3 linked regions of the Macaca fascicularis genome follow. The protein of the gene in region 2 interacts with the protein of the main gene of each other region in a pairwise test. Links are inferred from orthologs where the notes say so. Each region holds a gene or a part of one and is shown on either strand. Other genes may lie near its edges. The genes, in order: NUP62CL, AGR2 and FABP2.

The links.
Region 1: the proteins of AGR2 (region 2) and NUP62CL interact in binary tests that used the Homo sapiens proteins (3 or more experiments, as listed by UniProt). The two-hybrid records come from large-scale screens. The link is inferred for Macaca fascicularis from reciprocal best matches to the Homo sapiens genes AGR2 and NUP62CL.
Region 3: the proteins of AGR2 (region 2) and FABP2 interact in binary tests that used the Homo sapiens proteins (3 or more experiments, as listed by UniProt). The two-hybrid records come from large-scale screens. The link is inferred for Macaca fascicularis from reciprocal best matches to the Homo sapiens genes AGR2 and FABP2.

What each region holds. Positions count from the first base shown.
Region 1 is NC_088395.1:113,778,638-113,782,716, forward strand, and holds the start of NUP62CL (nucleoporin-62 C-terminal-like protein), read right to left. Parts: upstream 2,909-4,079; 5' UTR 2,748-2,908; intron 1-2,747.
Region 2 is NC_088377.1:113,397,150-113,401,324, reverse strand, and holds the start of AGR2 (anterior gradient protein 2 homolog), read right to left. Parts: upstream 2,935-4,175; 5' UTR 2,888-2,934; exon of another isoform or gene 2,870-2,887; intron 1-2,869. UniProt on the Homo sapiens protein: Required for MUC2 post-transcriptional synthesis and secretion. May play a role in the production of mucus by intestinal cells. Proto-oncogene that may play a role in cell migration, cell differentiation and cell growth. Promotes cell adhesion.
Region 3 is NC_088379.1:124,601,731-124,605,959, forward strand, and holds the start of FABP2 (fatty acid-binding protein, intestinal), read right to left. Parts: upstream 2,922-4,229; coding exon 2,855-2,921; intron 1,666-2,854; coding exon 1,493-1,665; intron 464-1,492; coding exon 356-463; intron 1-355. UniProt on the Homo sapiens protein: FABPs are thought to play a role in the intracellular transport of long-chain fatty acids and their acyl-CoA esters. FABP2 is probably involved in triglyceride-rich lipoprotein synthesis.

The sequences.
Region 1 (4,079 bases), on a different chromosome or scaffold from region 2:
CTCTAGCACATAGAAATCTTGATTGTCAAATTCATACATCCAAGAGGGGCAAAAACTCCCAGCTCAGGTCCAGATCTAGATCTGGCCTTCCTGTTAGGCTTCCTATTGAGCTCACTGTTACGTAAGATACAGTTATAGAAATGATTTTAAATAACCCAAGACATCATGGAATAACTATATTAGCACATCTCACATCTCCCTTTACCTTTTTTTTTTTTTTTTTTTTTTTTTGAGACAGGGTCTTGTTCTGTCACCCAGGCTGGAGTGCAGTGGCGTAATCACAGCTCACTGCAGCCTCAACCTCCCATGCTCAAGCAATCCTCCCACCTCAGCCTCCTGAGTAGCTGGGACCACAGGCACATGGCACCAAGCCTGACTAATTTTTTAATATTTTTTATAGAGATGGGGGCTCCCTATGTTACCCAGGCTGGTCTTGAACTCCTGAGTTCAAGTGATTCTTCTGCCTCAGCCTCCCAAAGTGCTGGGATTACAGGTGTGAGCCATCGCACCTGGCTACATCTCCCTTTTCAAAGCACACATAGTGTCTTATTTTCTGTTGTTGGTTAGTTAGGCTAAGTAAATTATAGCTAACTCATTCTATGAAATATTAGGTTGCTGTTAATAATGCAAAATATAAAGACTATCACAACATGGAAAAAAATTTCCAAAACAATATTAAATAAAAATAACAAAAAAGTACACGAAAAAGGATCACAATCATGTAAAAACATAGGTACATATGGATAATGATAGGAGGGGAACAGAATTATCAGTTATATTATGGTAGCAGAATTGAGTGATTTTTCATCTTTAATTTCTTTCAATGTTGCATTAATAAATTATTTAACCAGTGTTTTAAAACACTCTATATATTATAAAAGAATTAGCTAAACTATATCCATTTTTCATAGCTATAAATCCACAGAAACCTTTGGGTGTATTCTAAAAAATATTTTAGATCTCTCAAGTTTCATTACTTTAAAACCGAATTAGGAGTCAAATTCAGTTGTCTCTGCTTACCGACAGCACGGTCCTGGGAAAGTTACAGAATCTCTCTAATCCTTGTGTTCCTCAGCCACTGAGCTTCTGTATTTCCAACATTGTTCAGGGAAGCCAACTGCTTAAAGATTAATCTCAGATCCTGGACCCATCCCCCACCCCGCCACTTCCTCTACCTGGGGAAAACAGTTCTTAGTATTGGACGCCACCTTGCCAGAGACAGATGAAACCTTGAAGAGTTTATTATATCCCTAAAGATAAATAACATTTGTTCCCCAAGAAGAAAACTAATATTCACTGAACACCTGTGCACCCGACACTGTACCAAGTATTTCACATATGCTATATTGTATACCTTCCTGGGTCCCACTAGACCACAGAACCAATTTCTGGAGGGAGCCAGGGCAATCTGCATCTTAAATAAATTCTTTATTTCAATAAATTTTAAATAAAGTGCACACACAAGTTTGGAAACTAAAGATCTAGGGACAAATCATTAGGGAGTTGTGGTGTACATTTTTTAAAACATAATGGAAATTATCAGAGTATATTGCAGGTAGTAAATGTTAAGTGTTGTTTCTGTAAAAATGGTTGTCCGTTATATATTGTCTACATGTGTACTAGGTCACAATATAAAATTTATTTCTTACTGTTGGTCACAGTCAAAAGGTCTGAAAAACACCGGCTGAGCATTACAGACTTAGAATAATGCACAATGAGGCAGAATAAAAACAAAAAAGCCAGAAAAAGGAGATGGCATAATATCTATAATTTAAGCTCCACAAGTATCTAAAGAATTAGCAAAATGTAAGACACCTAAATTCTGATCATTCACAGTAATAAGGGGAATTAAGGTATTGGTAAGTTGGCTAAAAGGCCAATAACGTTGCTTTAGCCAATAACCTTATTCTATCCCCACGTTTTGTTTACCGTAGATAATAACAAGTAGAATGGACAAATTAATCAAACTTCACTATCCCCTATGCCAGATGGGATGGTCGTTAAGAAATGCATGGTATAAAGAAAGAAAGGAAGCAGTTTAGTTCATTTATAATCAAATTCCAATACCTGAATAACCAAAAGTAACCATTCATTAAAACCATCTGTGGGGTCCTACTGTTGATCATGGCTAATCAGTCCTAAGTACTGTAAATATTTATTACGCCATCCCCCCGCCGCCCCTTTGTTTAAAACCAAGCCACGGAATTTATGGGAAACTAGAGTAACAACTCTATCTCTAAGTGAACCTAAGACAACCAGATTCCCTAGCAGTGGCAAGCGAGCGGCGCGCCTGCTTTTCTCCACTCCAAGGCGGGAAAAGCAGAGCTCCCGGAGCCGCGATTTTCCCTAGAGTGGGAGCGACGCGTAGCTCAAGCCAGTGCCCCACAGGAACCAGGTGGCAGTTGACCAGGTGTTCCCCCGGGAACTTGGGGCCCGGAAGGCTTGCCCACAGAGAAGAATAAAATGCGATCCCACCTGCACACATACAAACACGATCGCACGTGCCAAGCCAGGACGGAAGCACAATACGTGTTTCTGTCGCGTGGGGGAAACGCGAAAGGCGGGGGGCGTGGAGGACGGTAGCAAACCCTTCTCAACCCCCGGCCCACTGCCCCTACCCTTCTGCCCCCGCCTCTCCAGATTGGCTGGAGATCGAGTCCTCAGATCGGGAATTCACGCGCGGGAAAAGCGTAAAAGAGAGCGAAGCGTGCTGACGAACGGGACAAATGAAAACCCCACAAACTTACCTTGGTGGCAGCCGCCGCCGCTCGCTGTCCGGCCCTGAACTATACGAGCAAGCCTCCGAGACTGCGTAGCCGCCAGAGGGGAGGGTCCGGACCTGCTCGAGCCGGAAAGAACCGGCCTCCGCTGTGAGCAGGTTCCCGCTGAAGCGAAGCTAACCCAGACTGAGGCTAAAAGGGGTCGACCTGGTTAACTAGAAAGGGCGACTAGTGACCCTGACCTGGATGCGCTCGGATTGGTCGATTCCAGTGTTGTCTCAGATGAGACTCTTCTATGATTGGCCAGAAAAGTCAAGCGGGAACCCGGAGGTTGGCAGGTGGGGGGCGGGAACAAAACAAAGTTGTTACCCTAGCAACAGAGAGACGCCGCGCTCTCCACAGTCTTTTCGGAGCCTAGCCTGAGACCGGAAAACTGACCAAGGTGAGGAAACTCGAACCTTAGGAGGGGAAAAGACAGGGTCCTCAGATGCCGTGGCTATCAGAAAAACTAGGGAAAACTCTAGATATTCATAACTCTGAGAGATACCCCAAAAAGCCACAACTTGAACAAGGTAGAGGAGACCCGTTCCCTAAATCCCGCTATCCTAGACTCTAGAAGCAGGACGCTGCTTTAACAAAACTCGGTTTTACAGGATGTGAGTGAGAGATGGGTGCTGATCGACTGTCAGAAGGCAAAAATGAACATCTGAAGGTTTCTCAACTGGTCTTCTCTCAACTCTCACATGCACTTATTGATTCTCCCTTCCCATTAATAATGACTAATTTGGGAATGTAAACCATATTCTCTTATAGGAGGATCTGGGTGCTCCAAACTGGAGCAGCCACTGTACCCTTCTGTTTTATATGTGCCACTGTACCCTTCTGTTTTATATGTGCAGGCACGATTTATCCTGGCCTAGCATGCCTTGGTTAGGAAATGTTTTGGGGGATATAACACTTCAGACTGGGGGGAAAAAAATGACCCCAGTACTCACTATGTGAATAATGTCCTTTGTGCGACAACTTGAACTCTGTGGCCTGAGAGTTCCAGTGTTGCTTGGTTAGATAAGCTGAGGAGTCAGAAGTGGTCAGACCTTCACTTGGTGGGCCCGAGTGTACTGTGCAGAGACTACTTGTACCTACAAAACCTACTACTCGCCAAGGGCTGATTGGGAAAGTATTACATGTCGTTTGACTGTAACTGTCAAAAGATGAGGAAGTATGACCAAAAAAATTAAATCTGAGTGAAGGGAGAGAACCCAGTTTGACCAAAGAGGGAGGAGTCATCACTCCTTAAGAGCTTCTTGTGATAAGGATTCAGAACAGAGACTGTATTTTCTAAAGAAATAAAAAAAAATA
Region 2 (4,175 bases):
CTCCTTTCCCAGGGTTTTACTTTCTGAGGTTTCAGCTATCCACGGTCAACTGCATCCAAAATAGGTGAGCACAGTGCAATATTTTGAGAGAGAGATCAAATTCACCTAACTTTTGTTATAAGATACTGTTGTAATTGTTCTGTTTTATTATTAGCTCTTGTTAATCTCTTATTGTGCTTAATTTATAATTTCGACTTTATCATAGATATATATGTATAGGAAAAAACATAGCATATGTAGTGTTTGGTACTCATCTGTGGTTTCAGGCATCCACTGAGGGTCATGGACCATAACCCCCACAGATAATGGGGGAACTACTGTAATACACCTAACCTAATGATCACCACAGCTGAACCTACCTTAAATGTGCTCAGAACACTCACATTAGCTTACGGTTGGGAAAAGACATCCAACACAAAGCCCATTTTATAGTAAACTGTTGACTATCTCAAGTAATTTTTATGAATACTGTATTGGAAGTAAAAACCAGAATGGCTATATGGATACTTGAAATACAGTTTCTACTGAATGTGTATTCCTTTTGCACCATCATAAAGTCAAAAAATTAAGTCAAACTACTGTAAGTTGGGACTGTCTGTATATAGTATGGATAGCTGTCTATTGATCCACATAGATACAGACAAAAATATAAAGATCTCTATAGATATAGAGTTATCTATATAGATATACATCTATATAGAAATAATATAGTTATATTTTAAGAAAATAGATGTATATACTCTAGTAGCTAAGGAAATTTACATTTACGTTTTTTGGAGACAAGGTCTCACTCTGTTGCCCAGGCTGGAGTGCAGTGGTACAATCTTGGCTCACTGCAACCTCCACCTTCTGGGTTCAAGTGATCCTCCCTCCTCAGCCTCCTAAGGAGCTAGGACTACAGGCACGTGCCACCATACTTGGCTATGTTTTTGTATTTTTTAGTAGAGATAGACTTTTGTCATGTTGCCCAGGCTGGTCTCAAATTCCTGACCTCAAGTGATCCTCCTGCCTTGGCCTCCCAAAGTGCTGGGATTACAGGAGTGAGCCACCACACCTAGCCGATATCTTAGTTAAATTACTTTTTCTTTCTGGTATTCCACAGTTGATTCCCAGGAAAAGCTAGAGCCTATGAACAGGAAAATAAATGACAAGATAAGTTTAGTGAGTGAGGAGGTGGGGAGGGAGCAAAGTGAGTTGCTCTAGCAAGTCACTAAGGTTGTCCACGGGGCTGTAACATGGAAGGCTGGAGACTTGGGATTCTGATAAAACCAAACACTGAAAGTGCTAAAAAGGAAATATGAAACCACAGCACCTAACTCTAGTATTGGTGAATGGTTTTGAATGAAGTCAAATAAACTCTGCAAGGAATCACTATTGTTAAGCGGGAAGTTTTTCATAATCTAGTATCTTGAGTGGAAACCTTTGCTAAGCATTAGCTGATTTGTTTTTAAAGGTGTTGCTAAGTTACCAGGTCGAAATGACATTTTGTATTTAACTGACCAATTATTAACTAATTCATAGTACATAAGCACAAAATGTCTTACTCAGAAAAGATGTAAGCAAAAATCAGGGATATACTTTGTTCATTTTCTATACCCAAAAAGATGTGGAAATGCCAATAACTTTTGTCTTCTAGAGTTTTGCAATAACAACCTAAGTGTACACTGTAAGTCAACAATTCTCAGCCTTCTTTGTATAAAGACTTCTTTTTAATGTTAAAAAAATCAAGAACTTTTACATGAGAATAATTATACTTTTAGAATACTGGTTGGTTCAGAAACAGATGGCAAATAACTTCTTTGAATCTATCAACAAACATTGGATTTTGTCCTTTATTTATAACGGCATCTATGTATATTCTAAAAAATAGTAAATTGATGGTAAAGCATTTTTATTTACTTAGCCCATTTACAGTTCTTGTTTTACAAGTAGCTATTAGGACCTTGCAATATCTCCAAAGGTTACAGGTTGGAACTATTGATATATTGCTTGTGTTTTACGGCAGGATGACTCAAGGAAGGCTAATATAACTCCTGCTGTACAAACATCCTGCTCCGGGGTGACTTTCTGAGATTCACTCCACTGAGTTTTTGTAATATGAATAGATTCTGCTGTGCAAATTTCCTGCATAAACCACCTCAAAGCACAATTCCAACCATGGAAAATACTGATAATTTGGAGACACACAGACACGCACACATAGGGACACACACACACACACACACACACACACACACTATGTGAAGCCAGCACTTTTTACTCGTCACCATATCCCTGTCTTCTCATCTTTAGCAAAGAATGAACTTGCAAGACATTTTAGTGTCCGTGTTTGTAAATGTTTCAGAAAAGCAACCAGCCCTCTCCTTGAACAGCCTATCCCATGAATTTAAAGATTGCAGAGGCAACAAGAATGTCTTTGCACCAAAAAGAGAAAGAAAACTGTTTTCTGATTTGCAATAATATATTCCAAGCGGACAATCCGGGCTGAGGTGTCATAGTGGAGATGCGTATGGGGCTTTTCTTTAGCCTGTGGGAAAGAAAGCTTTAGATGGTGACAGACGAAAATCCCTGGACCCTGTTCCAGGCTTGAAAAATCCTAGGATTCACCTACTCTTGGAAATTTTGTTTCCCAAAGGAGAAAGCCTTTCTCTGAACTAACTCAGGAACATCACACTGTGCCAGCTCTAGCCAAAGAAAGGCCCCAGTAAGCCTTTGGTGGAAATTCCATATTTCCCTTCCAAATTCTACTTCATTGCCCTTGGAAACTTGCAGTTCTCTGTTGCTTGATTGCCTACAACTTTATATAGCAATCAGAGGCCAAAATTCACTCCAGCAAGTGCCCATCTAAAGCTGCTGTCAGGAGCCTTACCTGGATTTCCTCACCCACCTGCCTTGTGTGAGCCGGCGGCTAGGATGCGGTCCAAGCTTCTGAGTGTGCCAGCACAGCTGAGTCTCTATTTATGCACCAGGGCACACCTCAATCCCACCCACTAGTGCTGCATTTACTTGTTGCTAACTCAGAAACGAACCTTCTTTTTTCCAAGTGATTATCTTCCTTGGGTTAAAGAGTTCCTTGTTTTTAAAAATAACATTGCAAAAGTAGGCTTTTCAGTATACATGTTTTTAACTATTTGTGAAGTGTATTGTTAAGAGGTTTTGAAACGATGGGCAGAGTGCCAAATCCAGGTAGACTTTGAATGAAGACATTTGATTTGCCTGAAGGCTGATTTGTCTTTATGTGATTGGACGGAGTTTGTAGTTTGTAGATTTTTTTTTTTCTGCCCCGTGGGCAGATTGCCTTTATTTACTTGAAAACACACAAGAGATGATTCACAATTCTGATCCTCACAGTCACATAACCTGCCATACTCCATTATGATAAAAAATTATTTTCTACAATACGTCCCCACTCCTGTCAAAAAAATGCACCCTAACTTCTGCAGGTATGAAAAAAATACAAATCAAGTAACCCATATAATATTTCAAAACTGAGGAAGTATTGGAAAAAAAACAGCCTAATACTGGGAGCTTGTAATAATTACCTTGCCATTGAATGTGTGCAGCAACTTCCCTCCACAGAGTTCAAAGGTATTTTACAGATAATTTCTTACTTAAAGGCAAACTTTCCTGCTACGCAAGCAGGAAGCCATTTACTCCATTTTTTCAGACCTAAAAACTAAGATCTGCAACTAATTTTTTTTTCCACTTAAGATTATTTAATTACTCCCTGAAGATTTTTAAACTGGAATTTAAATTTTCTGTCAGAAAATGTTAATCCTGTATTTTGTTCATGAAGTTGCGTGCAGTCTTTAAAATCTCAGAATGGAGAAAATTTTAACAACAGAAAGTTAACGAATGGGATGCAAGCCCTATATAAATGACTTTTTAAAATGAGTTAAGGTCATAATATTTCAAAAACATTTGCAAGTATGTATATTTTTCCAATAAATCCTTGAATTCTGTGGGCGAAATTGTGATTCTCCAAATACTGAATTTCCTTTCAATTCTAAATGAATTTACAGAAATAATTTCTTCAGGAGTTTGAAAACGATGATTTGAGCAAAATTCTTAAAACTAGCAGGCCCTTATATAGACCCTTGGAATGTTCAATTCCATTCCCTCATTTTACAGATGAATAAATGAATAGCAAAAAATTCATAACTTTTTGAAGGTCT
Region 3 (4,229 bases), on a different chromosome or scaffold from region 2:
ATATGAGTTTATACTATTTTTGTATTATATATATTATATGAGTATGAGTTTATACGATTTTTTCTTGTACTTGATAGCAAGATTTTATACAGATATAGGATACAGCCATTTTAAAACGCTTGTTGGTTTGTAGTCGTTTACATTTTCAGTTAAAATAGGCATTGATCATTTGACATATGTAAGTTCTCTTTAGTAAATAGGCATCAGAAAATAGCTATACAATATTTTTTAAATCAGTAAGATTTATGAGAAAAGAAGTAGTCTGTTTACTGAAGATCTAGCTCAGCAGTGATAAAAATTATTGTTTTGTAGTAATTTTTGCCTTTTGAAAATAGCTATAAATGTTACAACTCACCTGGACTAGTTCATCGCCTATAATTTCTCGGACAGTATTCAGTTCATTTCCATTGTCTGTCCGTTTGAATTTTCCAACAAGTTTATTTCCCTCAAGGCTCCAGGTCCCCTACATAATAATGATGATAACAATAATAGCATTTATTAGGGTCTTACACATGTCAGGCACTGTTCTGAGTTCTGTAGACACAGTTTTTCATTTAATCTTCATGGTGACCCTATGAAATTGATACTGTTATCCTACTTTACAGAAGAGGAGACTGTAAAATGGCCCAGTGATTCACCTAAAGTCACAGTCAGGATTGAACCTAGACCATTGGGCTACAGAGTATGTGTTGATAACCATTATGCTTGTTTTCTTAAATAATTTCCATATGCTGAATTTTAAGGCAGATGAGCAGGGCTTCTTTCTGAATCTTTCATGTTACATATCCAGAAATATAGTCATGGTTAACTTATTAACATGGTTAATAAGTTTCATAGAGAGGTTAACAACTCTGTGCTTGTTTTAATTTGTGTGATTGTGGAACTAATTAAAGAAAGGCATAACTGATAAAACATTCAGTAGTTAAATTGTCATTACAAACATATGTAATTTAAATAGAAAAATGTTGAGGCTAAAAAAGTTTTTAAAAAATTTGTTGAAAATGATGACTTCCTAAAATGTGTTATCTTAAACGTGAAAAGGTACACTCTCAATGACCTGCACTACATCAAAGCTTGCCATTTGGTAACTCACTCATTTATTCGTTTGTCCATTTCTTTTATTATTTCAACATATTAAATTACTATTACAGTTAAGTTACATATTAACTCTAAAAGCTTCTGTTGGTGTACTGTTTAAAAACACAGTTTTGATTTTTTTTATGAATAGGTCTATACTCAGTCATTCAAAAGATATTTTTTCTAATTCTTATTGTTCGATTCAGATTCTTCACAGATGCATATAAAAATAAAAGTGTAATACTTAGATAACCCTGCCAATTTGTGCAATATATAACATAGACAAACTTCATTGGCTTCTTCAGTAAATGAAGGAGACCTGCATTAATTAAACCAACCAATGAAATAGAGCAGAGATCATTTTAATATTGGGTAGAAAAATCAAGAATGCATTGCTCATAAAAAAAATTCTTACACTGAGTTCAGTTCCGTCTGCTAGGTTGTAATTAAAGGTGACACCAAGTTCAAAAACAACTTCAATGTTTCGAAAAGTGCTTGATTCTTTGACTGTGAATTTATTTCCTTCTTGTGTAATTGTCAGCTTCAAATTGTCATGAGCTGCAAGCTTCCTTTTCACTAAATTAACACCTGCAAAAGGTAAGACAATGGAGAAAATAAAGTCAAATCCCATAAGAAGCGTTTATTTTTCCAGGTTATGTTTTGTTTGTTTATTTTGAGGGTGGGAAGAAAACTCGGTAGCATTGCCTTTGCATAAGAGCATTCAGATTGCTTCTATAGAAGTTCAGTTTCAATCAGATCAAGAGAACTGGTTAAAGTTGTTTTTCCAAAACTTGAGAAAAATTAAGTACAGTACAGAATTATAGAATCTTAGAGCTGAACAACTTTAATAAGATTAACAAACTGTTCATTTCAGTGTTAAGTAAATTAAGTTCTAGAAATATCAAATGAAGGATTAAAATGTATATTCATATATTTATGAGGAAGCACATATTTAATTCTACATATACCGTATTCTTTTTTCTTAAATGCCCCTTTGTTTTTCATAGTGGCTTTAAAATTTTGAACTTCATAATTCTCTTTGTTTCTTGTGGCATTTCTGACACAAAAATGAGAAAATTAGCAAATGTTATAGCCAAAATCACTGTAAGACTCTACAAATTTTATAAATTTAAACTTAGAATTCCTAAACTGTAAGCTATAATTGATGCAGATTTTTCTTTTAGGGGAATGACACAAATTTGTTTGCCTATCTTATGTAGTATATGGGCTGCCAGAGTATTGGTATCAATTTATAAATCAGTTAAATTAAGCTTCCCTGAAGAAAATACATAGCTTCTCAAGATTATTCCAAAACTTTGTAAGTTAGAAGAAATAAGAATTAAATCTAACTTATTCAGAGCTATAAATTTTAAGAGAACCTTTTTCCATTACTTTCTTATATGGTCTTTGCTTTTCCATCTCCTAGAATTTAACATTTTCAAATCTGGAAGTTATCATTATACACTGCCATTTTCTTACTGTAAACAACAAAAAAGTCATTTTTCAGTTAAAGAGTGAAGGAAACATATCTGGATCTTTTTGGTGTGTTTCAGAGGACAGCACTCAAAGAATCTTTTCTTCCATTAGTGAGATAGTGGATTCTTCCTAATGTAAGAAGTAAGAATATGATTTCCCTCCTCTGAACATCTTCTGGATCCTCACTACCACATTAGGAGCTATCTGTAAGCTATCTGTTATCTCCTAGAGATTTAGGAGTTAGAAAGAAAAATGTTTGTAAGAAAGCAAAGAATAAGCCACAAAGAAATAAAGTCTTTACCCATTTTTTCCATGAACTTATCATAGTTTTCACTCCGGTCTACCTTCCAAGTGCCATTAAATGCCATGATTTCAGTTGAGTCAGCCTCCAGGCAACTAGAGATTCAGGTCTGTCCTTGGGCAAGAATTTATTATATTTCTTATCTTAGAAGCAACCCTATACTGTGATGTGGAAGTTTAAAGTTCAGGAAATCACCTAACTACTCTATGTCAAGCAATTAATTCTTATTAATTAATAAGAATTCTTATTAATTAATTAATAAGAATTCTTATTAATTAATTCTTAATTAGTTAATTCTCATTCTGTACATTCCTGAGATCTTCTGAAATTCAACTGAATTAAAACATGAGAAGCATACCTATTCTGTCTTCAAGTACAGTTTGTGGGCATACTTATTTCAAGAATTAGAATGCATGCTATCAGAAGATTGTTTTTCTAAGTTCAAAGTGCACACTGTGTTGGAGCTAATATAATTTATAGTGTAAGTCAGATAATATCTGGGAAATGAGACCATGACCTGTCTCTTTTTCATAGCAGCAATTATCTTATAAAGTAAGACTTTATGATGAAATACAGTTGAAAAGTTAGTTAATAAGATTCGTTTTCTAATATGTCTTTTTGCATTGTGTTTAGCATTGCCAGGAGTTTGGATAAATATCGTGGCACTTGGTACAGTGCATGACACGCAATAAGTGCTCATTAATTTTTGTCTTGATCCTGAATGGTGATAGGCCACTGAGCAAAATTTCAAGAGGTACAAATGAGGCTGGATAGTATAAAAACTTGCATAAAAGAATTAGCTTTAAACATCTGCTATGTGCAGAGAGAACAAAATCCGGTTTTAGCTGTGCCATTAATTAAAACCACTCCTTCGTTTCAGTCTCACTGCCTCTCATCCCCAAACCCAGTAGAGTCAGAAGCCACAGCTCAGTATGTATGTGTGTTTAGGGTATAGAGGGTAGCTAGAAAGGTACAAAGAAAAGGTCACCATATCTCTCCTTCCCCTACTTCACGCTGCCAACCTGGAACAGGCCAAGCTTGGGGAGGAAACGTGGTGTGAAGTAAAGAGTTTTAATTACTAGTCTTAAGATGTTTATTACTAAAATGAGTCTATTATTGTGATTGAATGTGACCAGATAACATCTTATTAACTAAGGCTCAGGAAAGAAGCTCTAGGGCTTGCCCAAGATATTACTTAGGGTCCAGGGAAGATAAATCTAACAGATTTGAACAGAACATTGGGGAATAGAATCCCGGTTTTTAAATTTTGGTATTATTTTATATTTTGATTTTTAAAAATCTTTTAAACATTTTTGATATTGTTTGATTTTTTTATTTCGAGTTGCCCACTTTTTATTTTATTAAGTAAGCACTT